2 linked regions of the Anolis sagrei genome follow. The protein of the gene in region 1 purifies or fractionates together with the protein of each later gene. This does not show direct contact. Links are inferred from orthologs where the notes say so. Each region holds a gene or a part of one and is shown on either strand. Other genes may lie near its edges.

Evidence for each region.
Region 2: the proteins of DDX23 (region 1) and PRPF6 purify together in Homo sapiens (affinity purification with mass spectrometry; 3 studies listed by BioGRID and IntAct, counting the BioPlex papers as one, with this or other methods). This does not show direct contact. The link is inferred for Anolis sagrei from reciprocal best matches to the Homo sapiens genes DDX23 and PRPF6.

Annotation. Positions count from the first base shown.
Region 1 is NC_090022.1:137,777,874-137,785,162, forward strand, and holds the start of DDX23 (probable ATP-dependent RNA helicase DDX23), read right to left. Parts: upstream 3,076-7,289; 5' UTR 2,938-3,075; intron 1-2,937. UniProt on the Homo sapiens protein: Involved in pre-mRNA splicing and its phosphorylated form (by SRPK2) is required for spliceosomal B complex formation.
Region 2 is NC_090024.1:237,895,177-237,902,602, forward strand, and holds the start of PRPF6 (pre-mRNA-processing factor 6), read right to left. Parts: upstream 3,109-7,426; 5' UTR 3,093-3,108; coding exon 2,881-3,092; intron 1-2,880. UniProt on the Homo sapiens protein: Involved in pre-mRNA splicing as component of the U4/U6-U5 tri-snRNP complex, one of the building blocks of the spliceosome.

The sequences.
Region 1 (7,289 bases):
CACTAAGAAATTCGCAATATTAAAAAGCACTTCAAGTATATAACCTGACTAGCCTCTGCAAAGGAATACTAGTTTGAAGTCCATACATATCTGGGCATCTGCAGAAGGCTTGAGACCCAGTTTTCGGTATCTGGGATCCACACAAAATGCCACACCAGACAAATTTCCACCTGTTTTAAAAACCAAATTTCCTGAAAATTTCACACAGTACAGAGGCAGCATGCAATCTGTTTAAAAGGTAGGCTGACACTTTTGGAGGTTCTAAAAGAGGAAGGTAAAGGACAGCCCAAGGAGTGTGGTACAATTGAGTGCCACAAAAACATTCATGGAGGCCATCTTCTGCCCACCTGACAATGGGTCCTTGGTATTTGCTGGGGTCTGATTTCAGGACCCCCTGTCCCCAAGGAGGGTACCAAAAGTTGTGGGTGCTCAAGTCCCATTATATACAATGGCATAATAAAATGCTGTCCTAGGTTCTTGTAGGTTTTTTCGGGTTATAGGGCCATGTTCTAGAGGCATTTCTCCTGACGTTTCGCCTGCATCTATGGCAAGCATCCTCAGAAGTAGTGAGGTCTGTTGGAAATAGGAAAATGGGTTTATATATCTGGGGAATGACTGGGTGGGGCAAAGAGCTCTCTGCTGAAGCTAGGTGTGAATGTTTCAGCTGACCACCTTCATTAGCATTTGAAGGCTTGGCTGAGCCTGGGAAAATGTTCTGTTGAGAGGTGTTAAGATGTGCCTGGTTGTTTCCTCTGTCCTTATCTGAAATGGCAGAATTAAGGTTTGCTTTTTGGATTTTGAAAAAGAAAATTTCAAGCTATGTATACTTGAATCCATGGATGCAGAATTATGGATATAGAGGGCTGACTGCAATAGGAAGAAAAAAAGTTACATGTAAGTGAGGTAAATTACTGTTTCTGTGCCTATAAGCAGAGCTTTCCAAACTGTGTTGGCACACATTAGTGTGTTGGCTGCAGTATGTAATGTATTGTGAAAATGTAACAAGAAATGACAAAAATCTTGGAAATACAGGTTATTATCTTAACAGTTATATATTTGTAGAAAGGCTTTCTTGACATATGTTGTGTCCTTATACGCGGAACAATGGCTTCACACTACAGGAAAGGAGATTCCACCCGAACATTAGGAAGAACTTCCTAATTGTAAGGGCTGTTCAGCAGTGGAACTCTCTGCCCCGGAGTGTGGTGGAGGCTGCTTCTCTGGAGGGTTTTAAGCTGAGGCTGGATGGCCATCTATCAGGGGTGCTTTGAATGTGATTTTCTTGCTTCTTGGCAGGGGGTTGGACTGGATGGCCCACGAGGTCTCTTCCAACTCAATGATTCTAAGATTTTGTTATTATAGCTTTTGTATATGCCTGTATATTACCAGTAAAACAGAATTACTGTGTTGCAAGATGATGCATGTCTAAAAAACCAACATGAAATGTTTGGAAAGCTCTGGCATAAGTATGTTAGAAAGAAATGAATCCAAAATGCAACACTAATTGTAATTGCTGCTGTATGTCTTTCCAATCATTTTCCATTTATGGTGACCTGATCAATGGGGTCTTTTTGGCAAGGCAAAATTCAACTCAGAAGGCTTCCATGGCTAAATGCGGATTCTGCAGAGTCCTCCTCAAATGCTAAAGCCACCACACCACTATATGCATGATCTATAGGTAGGTTTCATTAATCTTGCTGGTTTGCAGGAGTTATGGTGTCAGACCTGGACCAGGGAGCCTGGGCTCAAACCCTAACTTGGCTCCGATTCTCTCCCAGCCAAACCACAATATAATAATAATAACAACAACAACAAGAACAATAATAAAACTTTATTTATATGCAACCCTATCTCCCCAAGGGCACTCAGGGCGGTTAACAACAGATATTGGCAATGCCGTGAGAAGCTGAACAAAAACAAAAATAACCAACCCCACCCCAAAATTCCAAAAGCAAATCCACATCTACATCAAACATTATACTGCAATATTACTAGTAATATATTTGATGTATAATATAAAATTATCATATTATTATATATTACATTGTACTATATTATTATATTGCAATATATAATACACTACCTGTACATTCTACTATTAGTATTATATAATATACTGTACAATATCACAATCATGTGCTCCTCATAACATGGTCCTAAAGATAAAAAAGGAGCAGGGGTTCCAGACAAAAGGGCATTTCTTTGAACTCTGTGGAGAAAAAGTCAGCATATAAATATAACATTGACACACAACAAACCTAAAATAGAGGGGGGAAAGCAGGCTTCGACATAGGATTAAGGGGCATATGAGAAAAACACCAAGTAACATCTATATTGTAGAATTAATGAGGTTTGACAGGACTTTACCTGTCATGGGTCAATGCTATGGGATTGTAGTTTTTCCCAGTCTCTGTAATAGAGTGCTGAAGTCTCGCAAAACAACAAATCTCGGGATTCCACCGCATGGAGCCATGCCAATTAAAGCATTGTCAAACTGCACTAATTCTACAATGAAAAAGCAGCTGTAGCTATGTCTTGTTGAAGGCTTTCATGGCCCGAATCACTGGGTTGTTGTAGGTTTTTCGGGCTATATGGCCATGTTCTAGAAGCATTACCTCCTGACGTTTCGCCTGCATTTGTGGCAGGCACCCTCAGAGGTTGTGACCTCAGGCCCTTTCCTTTTCCCCCTCAGCCGCTTAAGCGGCTGAGGGGGAAAAGGAAGGGGCCTGAGGCCACAACCTCTGAAGATGCCTGCCATAGGTGGAGGCGAAACGTCAGGAGAGAATGCTTCGGGAACATGGCCATATAGCCCGGAAAATCTACAACCCAGCAGCTGTAGCTCCTTAAGGGCAGCAACTCAAAAGTCTGTCTTCCCCAGGAAAACCAGCAGAACCCAAAGGGGCCCCCACTCCTTCAAACCAGGCCAAGCGTGCAAACTTGCCGTCAGTCGCCCGCTATTCCTCCAAAAGAGCCGCCATTCGCCTCACCTGGAACGTTCCTCGACGTCGGCAACGACTCACTGCGTCTCCGAAACCGCCGCCATGTTACTCGGCCGACTTCCGTTGGCAACAGCCCGCAAAGCATCATGGGAAAGGAAGTCCGTGCGGCGTGAGCGACCCGCCGCAGTGCCGCCTCTTCGGACTACAAATCCCAGGAGTATCAGCGCGCATGCGCAAAAAAGGAGTCGAAGGACCCCAGGAAGCACCAGACAGAGTGAGTAGAGTTGGACTACGGTTGAAGGTTTCGAATGAAAATGCATCAATTCAAAGCCTACCTTGAAATCGCAACCACGGTTTGGAAACACATTTATAGCGGTTCGATACTGCTCTAACTGTCATAGTTGCTTCCTGTGAAATCTTGGGATGTGTAGAATCATAGAATCATAGAGTTGGAAGAGACCTGGTGGGCCATCCAGTCCAATCCCCTGCCAGGAAGCAGGAAAATTATATTTAAAGCACTCCCGACAGATGGCCATCCAGCCTCCAAAGAAGGAGCTTCCACCACACTCTGAGGCAGAGCGTTCCACTGCTGAACGGATCCCACAGTCAGGAAGTTCTTCTCATATTCAGGTGGAATCTTCTTTCTTGTAGTTTGAAGCCGTTGTTCCTCACCCTAGTCTCCAGGGCAGCAGAAAACAAGCTTCCTCCCTATGACTTCCCCTAACATATTTATACATGGCCCTCATCATGTCTCCTCTCAGCCTTCTCTTCTGCAGGCTATGCCCAGCTCTTTAAGCCGCTCCTCATAGGGCTTGTTCTCCAGACCCCTGATCATTTTAGTCGCCCTCTTCTGGACACATTCCAGCTTGTCAATTTCTCTTCAACTGTGGTGCCCAAGACACAGTATTCCAGGTGTGGCCTAACCAAGGCAGAATAGAGCATGGGTAGCATGACTTCCCTGGATCTAGACACTAGACTCCTAGTTTGGTGCAGAAGTGGCTTAGCCTGCATCTACACCATAGGATGAATGCAGTTTGACACCGTAGGATGAATGCAGTTTGAGCTGTAGTTTTACAAGGTCTTACTCCTTCCCTGCCAAAAAGTATAAATAAAGGTAAACATTTCCCCTTGACATTATTCGTGTCCCACTCTGGGGATTGGTGCTCATCTCCATTTCTAAGCCAAAGAGGCCATAGACACCTTCAAGGTCATGTAGCCAGCATGACTGCATGGTGCGCCATTACCAGCCTCTGGTCAAAGGACATTTAGTATATGCCAAGTTTTGAACTTTGTTTGTGGTTTTTAATACATTATAACAATATTCTCAATTCACTTCTGACACGATAAATAAATCCCCATGAGGACTCAGGCAACTTACACCATGAAATATGGTAATAAACAATAAGCAACGCAAATTAACAGTATAAATTCAGTCATAAAATAAATCATCATGAGAGCCAATAAAGCACATTGGCAGTTAAAATTGTGGTGTCAAATTGGATTAATCCTACAGTATAGATGCATCCTTAGGCTTCTCTATCATAAACAATATTCAAGAGAGTGCTGTGGAAGTCTATTCTCACCAAACTTCAAATTCCAGCATTCTCTTTCAGGGAGCCAGGAAGTTAAAGTGCTGTCAAACTGCTATACTAATTACACTGTATGGACACTTTGCTAGAGGCAACACATGCTTCTGAATTCAACTTACAATTGCAAATTATTACAGTAGACATTAGAGGGCGTATCGGCCCACAATAAAATCCTGTATAGGCTCCAAGTTTCTTTTCTTTTGTTTTGCGTATTAAAAGTGTTTATACTTTTTAAACTCAAAGGCTTCATAAGGCATATAGCAATAAAGCATCCAACCATTTAACCATAGATGATGATGATATTTGTGCCCAGCTGTCCTCACTTAATCAAGACCCAAAGCAGCTTACCATCTTAAAAACAATGCAATTTACAACCTACAATGTGTACATATTAAAATAGAATAAAAATACACTTTTTAAAACCACTGAGCTGCTGAACTTGCTGACCGAAAGGTCAGCAGTTCAAATCCAGGGATAGCGGTGAGCTCCTGCTGTTAGCCCCAGTTTCTGCCAACCTAGCAGTTCAAAAACATGCAAATGCAAGTAGATCAATAGGTACCGCTTTGACGGGAAGGTAATGGTGCTCCATGCAATTATGTCGGCCACATGACCTTGAATGCATCTACAAACAACGCCGGCTCTTTGGCTTAGAAATTGAGTTGAACACCTCCTCCCCCAGAGTCGGACATGACTAGAGGAGAACAAATTAGTTAAAATCACAAGCTAAACGGGGTTGGAAGATATAGTAAAATAACAGCAATTGTCATTAATTTGCCATTATTGTAGCCAAATGGCAAATGCAAGCTTTCTAGATTTGATAAAAAACATATCTTCAGAATATTTTACAATAGAGTGCCAATATTACTATTACTATCACTATTATTAACAATTAGTTGCTCTAATTGCATAGAAATCAGGAGGGTTCCAGGACAACGTAGCGCTATTCAAAGCAAGTCATATGACTTTCTCCAGTAATAGCAAACTGCAATCTGTTCAGTGGGAAAATGTAATTTCTACTCAACTGACCTGTTAAGTAGGAGGACAGCTGTTTAGATTGAGTTAAGCAAAAACATAGTCATTACTGTGTGTTGCTGAGGAATGTAGCCATTGCCTTGAGCTACACTGAGGAATGTAGCCATTGCCTTAACTACCAGAACTCAAGGGTATGGAATAGTCCTGGGAGCTGTAGTTTTATAAGACCTTTAACTTTCCCTGCCAATGAGGGCTGGTACCTCATCAGGACTTTTTCCACTTTGAATTAGTCTGAAGTTTTCAGCTGAGCACAAGTTGTTCTGATTTTGTGTGTTTGTGTGTGTGGTGTGTGTATGTGTCAGGAGCGACTTGAGAAATTGCAAGTCGCTTCTGGTGTGAGAGAATTGGCCATCTGCAAGGACGTTGCCCAGGGGACGCCTGGATGTTTTGATGTTTTATGATCCTTGTGGGAGGCTTCTCTCATGTCCCCGCATGGGGAGTTGGAGCTGACAGAGGGAACTCATCCGCACTCTCCCCAGATTCGAACCTGCAACCTGTTGGTCTTCAGTCCTGCCGGCACAAGGGTTAACCCACTGTGCCACCAGGGCTCCTTTAATCCAGGTAAACCTGGTTCCGATGTTCTGATGGTGTCCATTGAAAACTTCTGTTGCATCTTTCCATCCCACAAATGGTTTAGCAACCAAAGCACAAAGCTACTGATGACCACCTTTTCCCCAACTTCTTCTCCAATCACCACACATCACCACCATGCATCTTGTACATTAAATGAGTAGGCTAACCAGGGAAATCTGCTGAACCATTTCATTTTAAGACTCAGGAAATACATATCCTGAATTTCACTATATCGGCTATTGCTGCAAGTAATGACAGTGTGAATACATTGTTAAAAATTGCTTGAGATAGTGCTTGAAGTTCTGGAGGGTCTCGTTTAATTTTTGTTTCTCATAACTTAGCATGGGGATTTGGTTAACCAGTTAAAATTCATAAGCAAACCAGGTTTTTTGGGGAGGGGGGGAGGTTGGACCCCTCCCGCCCCTTGACTACAGGTCTGCTCACCAATGTTCGACTTCCAGGATCCCATAGCTTTGAGCCATGGCAGTTAAAGTGGTGTCAGGCTACAATAATTCCACAGTATAGATATGCCGGTTTAAGTACATATGGGATGTCACAAAACCAACCAGATCACAAGGTCTAGAAGCAACCAGGTTTACTATGATAGACCTCTTCCTCTAGGAATCCATTATTGATTGTGTATGAACTTGGTTTTCTTAAGCATGAGATGAACCTCCCAAGGGAAATCTGGCCTTTTGCTCTCCTGGTTTGGGGTGTGACTTGATTAGGACAGGATTAGATCTACATTATGGGAGATATGTTGCTCTTATACTTCATTGTACTCCAGTTAAAAAATGTTTTCTTAGCCTGTCAAATGTACAATTCTTCAGCCTAAGTTTGTGCTCCATTTCCTCACCACTTGAAATAAAGAATTATCTTTCTGCATTTGGTATTTTGGAGAGATTTGACTCACTTTTCCACCATTTTTTTGCCCAAACCCCACTCTTTCTGAGAAACATCCTCTTTTTAAATTAAGCACAATAGTGATGGGCAGCTTTTCCCACTTCATTGTTGTTGTTGTTGTTGTTGCTGCTGCTATTTATGTGCAAAATGCACATAAGTATTTGCCTCCTACAAGGCCAGACTATTTTGCCTCTCTTGTGAAATCCCAGTGCTGGATATGGTTGTGATCACCATACCTCACAATGTTGATTGC
Region 2 (7,426 bases), on another chromosome or scaffold:
GGCACAAAGAAGTATTACCTTGAACTTTCATTATCTACCCAGAACACAAGATAGTGAGATTTATCACTTTGAACACTGCATTTACTGTTGTCGTTTGTCATCAAGTCGACTTCAATCTATGGCACCCTAGAAATAACAGCTCGGTGCTTGCCTACTGCAGATCTTGGCATCTCCGACCAAATCGATCCATTTGTAATGTACTTTTATTCTTTTCCTAGAAATTATGGATTATACTTAAAGGATGTGGAAGTGCTAAAGTGAGGTCTCTCCCCACTCCTCCTCAACTTTAGACTTAGGGTTGCCCTAAGTCCAAAACAACTGTAAACCAGCCCTTGGCTTAAAAAGTGAGGACCCCTGCATTAAAGTAGTATTACTCAGAATTTCATCTATTAGTTTTGAAGATTCCAAAGGACTCCCTGTTTCATACATATCAAAGTGTTTGGACCCAGGGTGGGAGCAGAAGAGACCACAAAGGCAAAAGTAAAAGTCTTCTGCTCTACTAGCACCATCTTGGGGTGGAAAACTTGTATTAACACACAACAGAAAAACTCAAGTCCAAAACACCTAGAATGATAGAATCATAGAGTTGCACAAGATCACATGGGGCATAAAGTCCAACTTCCTGCCATGCAGGAAAAGCACAAAGTACCCCTTAACAGATGACTATCCAGCCTCTGGGTTAAGGTTTTGCCATTAAAGAATTGTTACATTCCTTCTACAATATCTGTGTTCTGTTCTGCGTTGCGCAAACAGCACTCCTGAAGGAGCGAAGTGGAAAGAGCGTAAAGCTCGATCGTCCAGAGAGGCTCTTCTCTCGCTCCCGCCTGCATCGCAAGTGCGACTTGTGGAGACGAGAGAAAGGGCCTTCTCTGTGATAGCCCCCCGGCTCTGGAATTCACTCCCCAGAGACATTCGGCAAGCCCCCACACTGGCAATCTTCAGGAGGAATCTGAAAACCTGGTTATTCCAACGTGCCTTCAATGATTGAATGTAAGATACTCCCTGACCAAATTTCGTACAAATGACTTCAGAAGGACTTTATGGTTCGTGCAATTAATTCCTTCCTCAATCTGGATCTCCCTCCCCAACAATTTCCATTGCCCAATCTCCCAGTGTTTTAAAATTTAAAATTTTTATCCTTCTCGCAGTCCAAGGCACTCTCAGCACTTTCCTCCAACACCACAGCTCAAAAGCATCTCTCTTCCTTCACTCAGCCTTCCCTAAGGTCCAGCTCTCACATTCATAGGTGACTACAGGGAATACCATGGCTTTGACTAGGCGGATCTTTATTGCCAGTGTGATGTCTCTACTCTTTACTATTTTATCGAGATTGGACATTGCTCTCCTCCCAAGAAGGAAGCGTCTTCTGATTTCCTGGCCACAGTCTGCATCTGCAGTCATCTTTGCACCTAGAAATACAAAGTCTGTCACGGCCTCCACATTTTCTCCCTCTATTTTCCAGTTGTCAATCATTCTTGTTGCCATGATCTTGGTTTTTTTGACGTTTAGCTGCAACCCAGCTTTTGCGCTTTCTTCTTTCACCTTGATTAGAAGGCTCCTCAGCTCCTCCTCGCTTTCGGCCATCAGAGTGGTGTCATCTGCATATCTGAGGTTGTTAATGTTTCTTCCAGCAATTTTCACCCCAGCCTTGCATTCATCAAGCCCTGCACATCCTCACATGATGTGTTCTGCATACAAGTTAAAAGGTTGGGTGAGAGTATGCAGCCTTGCCGTACGCCTTTCCCAATCTTGAACCAGTCTGTTGTTCCGTGGTCAGTTCTGACTGTTGCTACTTGGTCCTTGTACAAATTCCTCAGGAGAGAGACAAGGTGGCTTGGTATGCCCATCCCACTAATAACAATAAACATTATTTATACCCTTTCCTATTTATTAATTTACTGTATTTTTACATTATTTTAAGTAGGGGGCTGTTTTGATATTTTTAGGGAGGAAGTTCCAGAGGCGGGAGGCAACCACAGAGAAGGCGGTAATAGTATGAAAGCTGGGTCCGGAATAATAATAATAATAATAATAATATACCCTGCTCCATCTCCCCCAGGGGGACTCGGGGCAGCTTACATGAGGCCACACCCATCAATACAGTAAACACAATATTACACAAAAGCATAACCCAATATAACACAAGGCATAACAGAACTAAAAAAAACATAAAATGCAAAACCTAAATAATAAACGAGACAGCAGTATAAAATCGGACAGTAAACACAGAAATTGCACAGGGCAAGGCCAAAATAAAGCCCGACTGCTCACTGGAGGGAAGGATACTAGAGACAAAGCTGAAGTACTTTGGCCACATCATGAGGAGACAGCAAAGCCTGGAGAAGGGAATGATGCTGGGGAAAGTGGAAGGAAAAAGGAAGAGGGGCCGACCAAGGGCAAGATGGATGGATGGCATCCTTGAAGTGACTGGACTGACTTTGAAGGAGCTGGGGGTGGTGACGGCCGACAGGGAGCTCTGGCGTGGGCTGGTCCATGAGGTCACGAAGAGTCGGAGACGACTGAACGAATGAACAACAACAATAAATAAAGTTTATTAGTATTAGTATTTTAGGAAGAAGGAAAGAAAAGCGCAATTTTCTACTGAAGCAGGAATTGCTTGGGTTGCAACTACACTGTAGAATTAATGCAGTTCGACACCACGTTAACTGCTATAGAATCCTGGGAGTTGTAGTTCGGTACTTTTTGGCAGAGAAGGCTAAAGGCCTTGTGAAACAACATGAGTCCTAGCAATCAAGTCAAAGTAGTGTCAAAAGTGCATTCATTCCACAGTGTAGATACAAGTCCAAAGAGAGAGACAGAATGGAAGGGAAACCGAGGCCTCGCTGGCCGCCCAACTCCCAACTCGAGCCCCCGGCTCACCCGCGGCCTAGGCCCGGCACGTAGCCCAGCGGCGCAGGCATGCCCAGGAAAGGCTTCTTCTTCCTGTTCATGGTCCCTGTCAGCGAGGCCGTGAGGCCTGAGGATGCAGACCCTCCGCTTCCCCCGGGCCCGGATGAGCTCGAGCCTCCCGGGCCGGAGGAGGAGGAGGAAGAGGCGCCAGAGGCCGACGAAGAAGCAGCCGCGGTGGCCATCTTGGCGACGACTGAGGAGGAAGGCGGCACGCATGCGCAGTAAGGACGGAAACCGACTACGCATGCGCGTCTGGAGGAGACAGAGGCCCGTCTTGACTCTATTCCATTATGGACTTCACTTCCCAGAAGCCTCAGCTGCGTTGATCAACGGCCAGGAATTCTGGGATATGAAGTCCAAAAATAGGAAAACACTTGGAGATCCAGAGTTTGGGAGTTTCTCAATTTGGGACCAGGGTTTTTCCCCAATTCTACTTTTTCTCTCCTTTTTGGCATGCATTTAGACCAGGCATGGACCAACTTGGGCCCTTCAGGTGTTTTGGACTCCAACTCCCACAATTCTATTAGGAATGGTAGGAGTTGGAGTCCAAAACACCTGAAGGGTCCAAGTTGGCCCATACCTAAGTATAGAGGCCTAATAATGGCCTAGTCCTTTGGTTTCCTAATTCTGTTATTGTTGCCCACCTCAATCCATTGGAAAAGGCAAGTAAGAAATGATGGTGATGACGATACCATTGAACATCCCATGTCCAGAAATCATAGAATCAAAGAGTTGGAAGAGACCTCATGGGCCATCCAGTCCAACCCCCTGCCAAGAAGCAGGAATATTGCATTCAAATCACCCCTGACAGATGGCCATCCACCCTCTGTTTAAAAGCTTCCAAAGAAGGAGCCTCCACCACACTCCAGGGCAGAGAGTTCCACTTCTGAACAGCTCTCAGGAAGTTCTTCCTCATGTTCAGATGGAATGTGCCATATTTGGAGTTTTGTTCCGATTTTGGAATCCTTGCATACACATAACAAAATATCATGGGAATGGAATCCGAGTCTAAACATGGAATTCATTTATGTTTATACATTTAAAAATGCCTTTTGCACCAGCTCAGCTTTGAAGAATAGAAATAAATGAAGAATATCTTCAACCCTACATACAGAGGAATCTTTAGCAAAAGATCTGGGATTTCTAGGAGTCTCTGCTCTGGTTTCCACCAGATTGAGTACTGGTATACGCACAGAATATCCACATGGTTTAAATGAACCAAATCTGTACAGTTGTTTTATATATAATTCTGAAGTTTTATCCAAATTGGTAGTGTTACAATATGTCTCTCTGTTTGAGCATATTGTGAGCATTCACAGCGCCATCTGGTGCCTACATTTTACATTTTTGATTCCAACAGTCCCTATGAGTGGGCTGTTGTAAGGTTTTTCGGGCTATATGGCCATGGTCTAGAAGCATTCTCTCCTGACGTTTTGCCTGCATCTATGGCAAGCATCCTCAGAGGTAGTGAGGTCTGTTGGAAATAGGAAAAGGGTTTAAATATCTGTGAAATGACCAGGGTGGGACAAGGGACTCTTGTCTGCTGGAGCTAGGTGTGAATGTTTCAACTGACCACCTTGATTAGCATAAAATGGCCTGACAGTTCCTGGCTATATGCTAATTATATGCTAATCAAGGTGGTCAGTTGAAACATTCACACCTAGCTCCAGCAGACAAGAGTCCTTTGTCCCACCCTGGTCTTTCCATAGATATATAAACCCTGCCACTCTGAGTTAGGTTGCCATGGAGAAAAGGGTGAAGCCAACTGCACTTACCAGAGGCAGACATTTTGAGGCTTCAGTCCTTTAGTCAGCGAGCTAAAGGGAAGGTGGTTCAAACGTGTGGTGAACCAAACTAAGGGAAAGCTTTTAGCCTGAGTGATTTAATCAAGTCAAGGGGACTTATTTAGGTTTGTGGTTTAGCTGTGTGCTAATAGAAGAAATCCCACTGGGAATCTTTACTTCAGCAGGAAGCTGAAGGGAGACAAGGGCATTAGGTAACCTTAGTTAATCTGTCAAATAAGGAAACATATTTAGAAGTATAACAACTAAAGAACTAGTTGGTGAAGTAAAAGACGTCCTAAAGTTACGTTAAGATTTGTTGAAACTGTAACTCGTGAAGCTTTATACCTCAGGAGAAGAGAACTCTGAAACTATTTATTACTCCAAATAAACTTGTGCTAGTACGGCTGTACCAGGAGCTCCAACTTTATTTGCTTTGTATTAAATGTTTGCTTGCAGTCCAAGGTTTCAGGGACTCTGCAGATAGGTGGCTTCCTTTGGTTGCAGTTGTAGGGCAAGTCACCTGCCCATCATCGTTAAGTTTTGGTCCCGCCCCTTGCTCAGGGCAATAGGGAAGGGAGCCATTTTTAGTTAGTCTCAGTAAGGAAAGCTAATGTAGAGGACGTGTACAAGCTTCTCCTGTACAAAAGCTTCAACCCATAAGACTTTGCAGTCTTAAGAGCATCCAAAGATCTCCGAAGATTTCCAGGGAAACAGCTCTAAAGCCTTGAGGAATTTTGGAGGGCAAACAGTTTGGAAGACCACAAAATTCTAGGTGGAGAATCTACTAGCCTTACTGGTAGGTCCACTCAATGCTCGAGATGCAGATCGACCTGGTAGCGGAGCCCACATCAATAAGGATTAGATTACAGTCAGCCTGGGAGAAGTTAAAAAGGGTTTTTTCCTACAGAGAAAGTTTAATTTATCAAAGTCAGGTGCCAGTCCATTGAGGACTAGACTGGGAAAGCCTTGAAGTGTTGTTTGAACAATTGAAGATTTGTTGTATGTTCCATAATAAAGACTTTGTTGCATTATCAAAGACTTTAAAAACCATCACTTCTAGAAAATCCCCGAGAACTTCTCTTTGGGGGCCCCTGGCTTCCCGCTGGGCAAAGGTTGCACATCCTATTTTAAAGGAAATTCTTTACAGGCCCAGCGCGCGACAGAACAAAACTTGTTCTTGTTTTAGTAACTCAAGTCTCAGTGTACTATTTCAAGGGGGGGAAAACTCGCTACACACCAAAAGAAACACTACAGAGTGGTAGCAGTGAATCTATTTGAAAATAGGGGAATCCATTAATAAACTGAATAGGAAACCCTTATTAATTGGTGGCAGCATCACCTAGCACCTCACAGATGGTGGCAGCATACTAGATTGAATAGAGTATCAGACAACGAAGAGGAAGCCTTTACAGCAGTATTACTGTATTTCTTCCATTTTTTGTCCGGTTGTTTGAGAGTTGCAGTTGCTTAAGTTCCGATTAACTGAAAGTTTGATATATATTGTGTATGTATGTTTGTGTGTGCAACACACACACAGATATAAATATGTATGAAGCAATGCACCCCCTCCAAAAAATCTGCAGATTACTTTTTGTATATTCTCACAAAATATGTTGGTCCAATTTTTTCATTTTCTTTTAATATAAGTTTCAGCAAATGCTATGAAGGCTTCGTACTAATCTTCTATTTCTTTCCTTTCTTTTTCCACTCCCTTTCCTTCTTTTAACAACCTCTGGCCAAAATTAATTCATCCCTCAAAGGCATAAATTCTTCACAGCTTGAACAAAATCCTATATGCTTTTCAACCAAGCGATTGTAGCCTAGCTTTGTACAGCAAGTGCATTGGCTTCTCTTCTCTTAACAGGGGGGAAAAAATCAATATCATATTTTAGTCCTAAGGCATGGTTAAATTTAATCTTTGTGGATGGTGTGTCCTGTCCCGCACACCCTTGATTATTTAAGAAATAATGCCCATAGCGGAGGCATATGCAGAGCAATAAACCAATCTTGTTCTTTATTAAATGCTAGAGCAAAAAGTGTTTAATTTGACAGCAAACTCCATTTATATATCTCAGGTTTGCTCTGGTGCCATGAAAATTGATGCTATTGTCAAGCGAGAGAGCAATTTCACAGATATATTCCTGTTTCAAGAACAGCATCTACAGGGCTGGAGGGGCTTGTCTTTTCCCCCTTTGAACTATAAGTTTTGTCCAGTTCTTATTCTACTATTTCATGTGTCTGGGCATTCATTTTTTGAAAACACTGCTGCTGATGTGGATCACAGCTGATCAAGACTGTTAGTGGATTACCATCTACTAACTAGGGGCAACTCTAAACTGTAGACTTGGAGTTAGACCACATCTGGAATACTGTGTCCAATTCTGGGCACCACAATTGAAGGGAGATGTTGACAAGCTGGAATGTGTCCAGAGGAGGGTGACTAAAAATGATCAAGGGTCTGGAGAACAAGCCCTATGAGGAGCGGCTTAAAGAGCTGGGCGTGTTTAGCCTGCAGAAGGGAAGGCTGAGAAATATGTGAGGGGATGTCATAGGGAAAAGGGAGCAAGCTTGTTTCCCATATATATGAATGATATAATTTCTGCCCAAACCAGCCACGTTTTAAAATTGTGGATGTTCCTGGGTGCCTGTCTACACCCACCCCAGAAAGCGCGCACAGCCTGGCAGAACATCTGGGGACCTTTCCCCCTCCCCCAAAGCCCCCAAACCACTTT